Arabidopsis thaliana: one gene and its partner. The protein of the gene in region 2 interacts with the protein of the main gene of each other region in a pairwise test. Each region holds a gene or a part of one and is shown on either strand. Other genes may lie near its edges.

What was found. The genes of interacting proteins can lie anywhere in the genome.
Region 1: the proteins of AT1G09250 (region 2) and KDR interact in a two-hybrid assay, tested with the Arabidopsis thaliana proteins (one large-scale study listed by BioGRID).

The regions. Positions count from the first base shown.
Region 1 is NC_003070.9:9,349,307-9,353,356, reverse strand, and holds KDR (basic helix-loop-helix (bHLH) DNA-binding superfamily protein), read right to left. Parts: upstream 2,198-4,050; 5' UTR 1,787-2,197; coding exon 1,658-1,786; intron 1,039-1,657; coding exon 883-1,038; 3' UTR 524-882; downstream 1-523. UniProt on the Arabidopsis thaliana protein: Atypical and probable non DNA-binding bHLH transcription factor that regulates light-mediated responses in day light conditions by binding and inhibiting the activity of the bHLH transcription factor HFR1, a critical regulator of light signaling and shade avoidance.
Region 2 is NC_003070.9:2,987,139-2,990,977, reverse strand, and holds AT1G09250 (basic helix-loop-helix (bHLH) DNA-binding superfamily protein), read right to left. Parts: upstream 1,838-3,839; 5' UTR 1,470-1,837; coding exon 846-1,469; 3' UTR 551-845; downstream 1-550. Other genes in the region: AT1G09245 (Plant self-incompatibility protein S1 family), read left to right, coding at 3,611-3,839. UniProt on the Arabidopsis thaliana protein: Atypical bHLH transcription factor probably unable to bind DNA. Negatively regulates brassinosteroid signaling.

The sequences.
Region 1 (4,050 bases), 6.4 Mb from region 2:
TCAATGACCGAAAAAAAACGGGAACTGATACAGTACATGATTATATTTAACTTTCAGGCGCAAGAATTTCTCTGTTCAAAGAAAAGGTATGTAACCTTATATCCCAATACATTTTACTTTTAACACGTAATCATAAATTATCTACTCCATTAATAACACCACACTAATACCGTAATTATCGAGTCAATACGTGTTATAATATACACGACGAAGATAACACATTAATGATCACATGCAAGAGGATTTAAATAAAATGGCACGACCATACCATATACTACAGATAACATTAAAAAACAGATAATCCAAACTAAACGACTTCGAAAACATCGAGGTCTTCGTCTGTTTCTATCATATTTTAAACAATTTAAATTCAGACACAACTTCTCCACGTTTTTAAATTGTATATACATACCATTTTATTTTTTTTGATAAAATTGTATTGACATACTTCCAAGTATAACTTATTTATTTGGCATACACATATATTGTTCTTAATTTCTTCAACTAAGAAATTTCGAGCATACACCGATAATCTCCTCAGCTTGTTAATTATAGAAAAAGATATGATAAACGAAACTTATAACAGTAGATCAGTATAGTAAAAAAGGAAACGGACCGTGTCATTAATCATAAATATTAGAGGATCTCATGATACACAGGCTACTATACGCCAGGTCTGGACCCTCAGATACAATTAACATGCATACATACATACATAACCATATATTAAATATAAATATATGAGTTGGCCTAACAATGACCCGAAACCCTAGCTATATCTCATAATATATGATGTAGAAGTAAACAGACGATACCCATAATAAGATAAATTTGGTGGCCGGAAACGGATGATTAATAGCTCTCAGATTAAGTAATGCGGATTTAATAATTAAGCAAGCTCCTAATGATGGCTGCTTCGGCGCTGTTGTCGTCCGTCGAAGCCAAGAGTTCCGACAAACGGTCACTGAGGTCATCAACCTCTCTGTGTAAGTTCCTGATGTAGTTGCAAGTCTCTTGTAGTACCTTAGATGCTGACACCTGTCCAATAGTTTAAACATTTTACAATTAGTTTTAAAGTACAAAAAACGATCATTATATCCCTTACAAAGAGTACGTGACAACATGTGCTACTGCCTTTTTTCTTTCTTTGTAACAATTTCATATATATCTTCAAACTTTTAACAGAACTTTAGTTTTTTCTCATGATTGCCACTTCAATGTGCACAACGGTATAAACGGCCACAATTTATTTATCATATTCCTCAGCTATATATAGAATTATGGTGAGTATATAGGTAGAGAAGAGTAATGGGGAGACATGTAGTTAAGGTACGTGGAAGTAGGAAGGGAACAAACTGAGTCCCACACCACCAACTTGTAAAATTTAATTGCAAAAAAACATTCAAAGAACAAACAAGATATATGCATAAATGAGGCTGTGAATTAATGTTACTTTATCTACGTATAGTTAATTGTAGGCCACATGTCTACACGCCGTTGGATTTCACCATGCATATTAATTAGTTATTATATACTATATGGTTCCTATTCATTTGAACTTTCTAAGTCCATGTGCAGGCTAAGTTATACAAGTATACAAAATAAGTATGTATATGCAAGAAAGATAGATTAAAATTTGTTATTTTGAAGTGTATACCTTGTCAGAACGGCGGCGGCGAAGTTCAGGGATGAGGTGTTGGAGCTTAGAAACAAGATCGGAAATCTGATCGTCAGAGATTCTTGAGCTTCCTGACTGTCTTGAACGTGATGATCTTCTGCTAGACATCTTCTTTCTTGATATATTATAAGTGTGTTTGTTTGGGTGTAGAGAGAGAGAAGAATGCAAGAAGGATAAGTAGTTAATGTGTCAGAAAGAGAGAATGAGAGTGGAGAAGAAGGTGTTGAAGAGGGAGGAGCAAAGTGGATGTGTTTTTATAATGCAAATTTATGAAGAGAGAGAAGATCAAGAAGAAGAAGAAGAAGAATAAGAAGGAGAAGAGACAAGTGCATGGAGGGAGGGTGTGGGTTATGTTTCTTTAATAAGGGTGTCTTTAGCTTTCAAATATTTATTATTATTTGTTCTCAGTTTTTTTCATAGTCGCTTAGTACAAAAAGATACTGTTTATTTTTGGTAAGCTTCTAAACTTACTTTCCCACGAGAACAACTTCTTGATTGTTATATGTGTAAAACTCACCCACGTCAAGTTTTTTTCCTTGCTCTCTTTCTCTTATTCCTGTTCCACTTAACCTTCTTTCTTTCGAGCTATTCACATGGTGTAGTATCAACTTCAAGTCTTCAACTTAACGACCTTTATTGAAAATTTAAAGGCTACATGTTAATTTCCTTTAATTTTTCTCAATATTGAACATGACTAAACAATAGATGGATAAGAGTTGATGGAGTTTACAAATGTAAGTCCGTATAATGTGCAGAGTCTATATCAGACGACTAGTCTTATTGTATGTCTATTTTAAAAAAATTCTATTTAATAATTTATCTTATTATATATGTTTTGTGATAATGTATTCTTTTGTTTTTATGAATGAATGTAAAATTTGTTCAACAAAAAACGTTTGTATAATGAATGTGACATGGAGAATTCAAATTTTGAAACTAAATAGAAAGGGTATCAAATAACTAAGATCCAGTGCTAAACCAATAGTGATACTTTACCAAAGAGTGTTTGTATCGTCTCATACGAGTCGTATGATACGACGATTAGAACCTATCTTAAGGGATATTGTAGAGGTTTTCAGTGACTAGTGATGGGACCAAAAAAAATATATATAATAAAAAATACAACTATGCTTAAGTCAAGTCACTCGGTTCGATTTTGGCTAAACCCAAAAAAAAATCCAAACACGTATAACAATGGATTGATCCGCACTCTCTGAAATCAAAACCAAATCAAAGTCAGTCCACAAAGCTACAGAGCTTTCCAAAATCGGGCCAAGTAGAATTAATTCATTGCAACATTTTTGGCTCAACGCATCCAAGTAGAAAAAAACAAAGAATTAAAATAAGAATTGGGAAAGGGACGTAGAAAAGGAGGGGAGGGCCATGGAAAGGAGAAGAGGGATCAAGTGGGGTTTAAAATGGCAAAATGTGTGTTTATCGCCAAACTAAACTGTCCCTCTTTGCCTTCTCTCTCTGTCAGTACCACCATTGCATCCCCACGTTATATGTATTACTTCATTGTCCCTTTTTTTAATCACTTCTCTCTTTTTTACCATTTTTTTTGTATCTTTCAAACTTTTACATTGATTTTTTTTGGAAATTCAATGGTTTTGGAACATGTATAAGTTTGTTCTTCACACATCCATGTTTGACCTTTGATGTAATGTAACATCCAAATATTTTTGAAAATAATATGATTGTTATCCTATACATGATCGTGAAAAGAAAAAAAATCACTGTCATTTATAAGATTAATTATTATTTTTCTTTAGTGTGGTGGTCTATATCATGAAAAGAGTGTAGGACATATGGTACAAGAAAACACCAAAAAATGTTGAAGCCAAATTACGGATCATGTTTTGGATGTAATTACAGTTGACAACTCTGATTTTTTTAATACCTTCCATAAAAATCTGATTTTGAGTACGTAGCATGTGGTAGATGCAGAGATAGGCATTTGATTGTCGATTGGATTCAGTTCGTTGATTTTGCATTGCATTTATTATGTGGTAGATGTTTGCTTTAACTCGGATTTGATCTATTAATCTTCTTTCTTTGTTTTCGTTGTCAACAAGATATAGGTCTTGATCTATATATATGTGTGTATTTTAACTTCTGAATACTTTATTTATTTGCCATCGTTGCTGTCATTGTTTACAGAGGACCATAAATAAAAAGGACAAGATTGATCTATTTATTCATTAAAAACAAAATAAAATTACAAAATTTTCTTAATTTTTTAAGCTAAATAATGAAAATATGTATTTGTCTTTTATAAGACTTGTATTGACATAATTTGATTCTGCATGGTTTGGTATCTTTAAAGTTTGAAATTAGTATATATGTATACATGTTTTGTTTGAAAATAACCC
Region 2 (3,839 bases):
TTTAATTTGATATACAACAAAAAGGTGTGAATGCTTTTGAAAGACATATTGGGTGTTAAAAGAAAGAGCACACGTGGGGAGTCTTAAAGAGGGAAAAAAGATGTTCCAAGAGACTCATTTCTCAATCTTATTGTTTCCTCTTCTTTTGGTTCCATTTTTGTGGTCCTTTTTGCTCACCACTTCTTTCAATGTTATTCCTAGTGGATTTCTTCTGACAACTAACTTTTACTAACTTGTATTTTATACCATAATCATCAATTTTTCATAATGTCAGTTCTCTTGAAGAGTCGTATGCTACTCCTTGTTATCATAATTAATGTTGACATTCAAGTAAATGTTTTTTTCTAATCAGTTTGAAAGATTTTGAGGGCATTTTGAGCAAAAAATACACTTTTCGACATAAACTTCAACGTCGGAAAAAGTCTTTGAGAATCACATGGAGTCCATTGGCCCCAAAATTAAGGTGGGTGTCCTCAACACGTTACACGCACATGCTCATTTTTGAATTGCTTCAACTTGCAAATTATTTGTTCTTCTCCTTACTTTTTAGTTTCTTTAATTTGTAGGTCTAATTTTTTTTTAAAGCGTTAAACAATTTTTGGAATCGACATTAGTTGGCATTTTGTTGTTGTTATTGTTTAGATAACTTTGATTATCTAACGAAAAAACAAAGAAAGATCAAAATGGATACAAAAAAAAAGAAGTGATGATGTATACAAATAAAATACATGAATTTAATAAATTAAAATCGCGTCGACGAGAAAAAAAAAACACTTGAAGCCAAAATAAAGGGGTAAAAAGGTAAAAGAAAAGCTAATTAACAACTGACAAACTAACTGCCGCCGTTAAGTTCCGGTCAACGTCGTCCGTGGTGCGGCTGCGGTTAAAAGTTCGGCGAGAGCCTCCATGGCTCGAACCTGCATCTCTAACGCTGCGATGTAATCGGTCGCTTCATCTAAAAGATTCGGTACAGAGACTTTCCGGCAACCAGGAACCAAACGGCCAAGAATCTTCAGTTTTCTCTCAACCGCCGGTAACTTAATCCGATTCGTCTCCGTGAGACCTTTTCTCGATTTACAATTTCCCGTTGACTTTTTCGCCTTTCTATGTTTCTTCAGCTTCGCTCGGACGCGACTCGCTAAAATCGCTCTGCTCCACCGAGTCGTACCACGAGCGGACGCAGCTAGAACTCGATCCGCCGTATCACGTATCTCCCTCGCCGCGCCGGAGACGAGTTTATCGGTCTCGTTGTTGCTGGTGGTGGAAGATCTCTGACGAACTCGGCGTAAAGCTTCGACGAGCTTACAAGCGTAGATCTGTTGCACACGATTCGTTTTCCATCTCTTCAAGCTTTCTTCGTTGACACGTCGTGCCTCTATCTCCGCCTCCGCCGTCTCTGATATCCTCGGCTTCTTTCTTCGAGACGATTCACCTGTGTTTTCGATGCTCGGGAACAGAGACTCCACCATTAAATCCGATTTAAAACCAGAGATTCAAAGAAACCGATGATAAAAGGCAAAAACAACAATCTCTTCTTCTTCTTCAGATTCTGAGAGTCTCTCTTTCTCTCTCTCTCTCTCTCAATGTGACTAGTTAGAAACAAGAGAAGATGAATGGAGAGAGATCAGTTTTTATATCTCTGCCAATCGCCAGCGGAGCTATAACACTTAATTCCACTTTTGCCCTTATTTACCGGTATTTGTTTTTTGTGTTTTTTTTCATTAGTTAAAAATCTTTTGTTTTTAATCTTTTGTCATTCATGTGATTGTTCTTTATCTTTTTGCCTTGGCATGAAGCTCCAAAATTATGCCCTTTAATAGTCAAAATGCTGAGCGATGCAAATATATTTTCTATGTTTATACATTGTAACTCCAAAGGTCAAAGAATATAGACGATTGATATATATATTTTTGATAAGTTGAGAAATAAAGGGTGATGTTGAATCTTTTGTTTCAAGTGGTTGCGGTAGAATTCATGTGGTTTTATTTTATTTTAAAGGTAAGCAGAGAAAGGGAAAAAAGCACTCAGAGAGTGAAATAAGCAAAAGAGAAAAGAAAATTTACCAAAAAAGCATTCCATGTGACCATTTTCATGGCGCTGCCATATGAGAAAAAAGGATCTCTTTTGTGTGACCTTTACTCATTTGTAATGTTGTGGACAATTTTCCGCCAACAAATTCTCTCCTTTGCCGTTTCCCACTATTTTGTGTGTGATTTGTATGTTTCTAATTGATATCTCAATCTAAAGAGTAATGAGTAGTCTACAAAGGAAAAACAAAAATAAAATTCAAGAGTAATGAGTAGTATATGTATATTGTCTTCATACCATAGTTTAGAAAATATTTTTTCTTGACAAAATTCGATCCTTCGTAACGGTGAATGTCATTGTCAATTTGTCATATATCACGAGGGAATTATTAGTTCCTACACCAAGTTCTAAATCTTAAACAAACCATGATCTAAATTCTATAGTAACTAATGTAAAACATTTACTTTTCTTGATCAATTCGTTTTTGGCACCTTGCTATGGAAAACACGAGAGAAATGTTTTAGCAATTATGAGTTGACACTAAATATTATAAGTGCATTTTTGTAGTAAATGTGTGATTTATACCAAAAAAAACAAGAAAAAAAAAAAGAAGATCTTGAAGAGAATCTAAAAGGGCCCTTTTCTCTGTAATTGGCCAGAGAGGCTTGCCCCCTTAATTGAGACATCGTCTCCATGTCTCTTCCTTTTCTTAATATTTTAACCACGCTCAAATATTTCTTCTCCGACTCTCTTAATAATACTCACCAAATTTTTAAACTGGAACCCATTGATATATGTGGTCGTAAGCTTTTCTTGTGCGTGTATATTTTTTAGATTCTAAAATATCACAAGATTCACAGCGCACATATGACACCAAAAAAAAAAAACACATGTCTATATGCATCAGACCAATTATGGAATCTCCCAAGGAACAAAAACATGCTCATTCGTGAATACAGTATCCAAGGTGGGGAAGTTAAAGACTAGATCTTACTCAGGAATTCATAAACACTGAGGTCAAAATCGAACAACATCACACAAAGGAAACAGCTCTCTTGGATCAAGTAACTTGTCTTTGCTATGTGGTTGCGTTGCTTTTCAGTTATTACCAGGAGCCTTCTGTACCTACTGTTGGGTTTGTGAACGCCTTGGCCCCTTTATAAAGTTTTAAATCTAGTCCATTAAGGCTCATTTATCGTTAGACTTACTGGGCCTGTATAGGCCCGAGGACAGATGTTATTTTGTTATGTTGAAATCGGGAGTTCAAATTTTCGAAATCTTCCGTATTACAAGATACACTTGTCCTGTTAAAATAGTACACTTGCAAGATTTTTTTGTTATATCTTAAATATTTTGGTTTTAGTTAGATGTTTGTGGATCACCTATGATTTGTAAGGTTGAATCCATTGGGATTGGTCAACCATACTTTTTTCGGCAATACCTATATATTAATAATTCATGTTTGTGTTTCAATTTAACTAATTTTAGTTAAGGCCATAAGAAAATACTAACACACTAATAACTATATATAATGCATTATTGATGTCATCAAATTCAAACTGGAGTCTCAAATTACTCTTAAATGAATCGTTTTATAATTTTTATGTTTGTTGTTGTAACATATTTTGGATTGAATGTAGCATTTGACATGTTCCCATGTCCAAAAAATAAAGTTCTAATTAGAAACGAGCTTGGTCCCGGTTTAGTTCTTCAATACCATTGTCATTCAAGAGATCACAATCTAGACGTCGCAAATTTACAATTCAATGAATATAAAGAAATCGCATTCGGAGACAAGTTAGGAAAAAGAA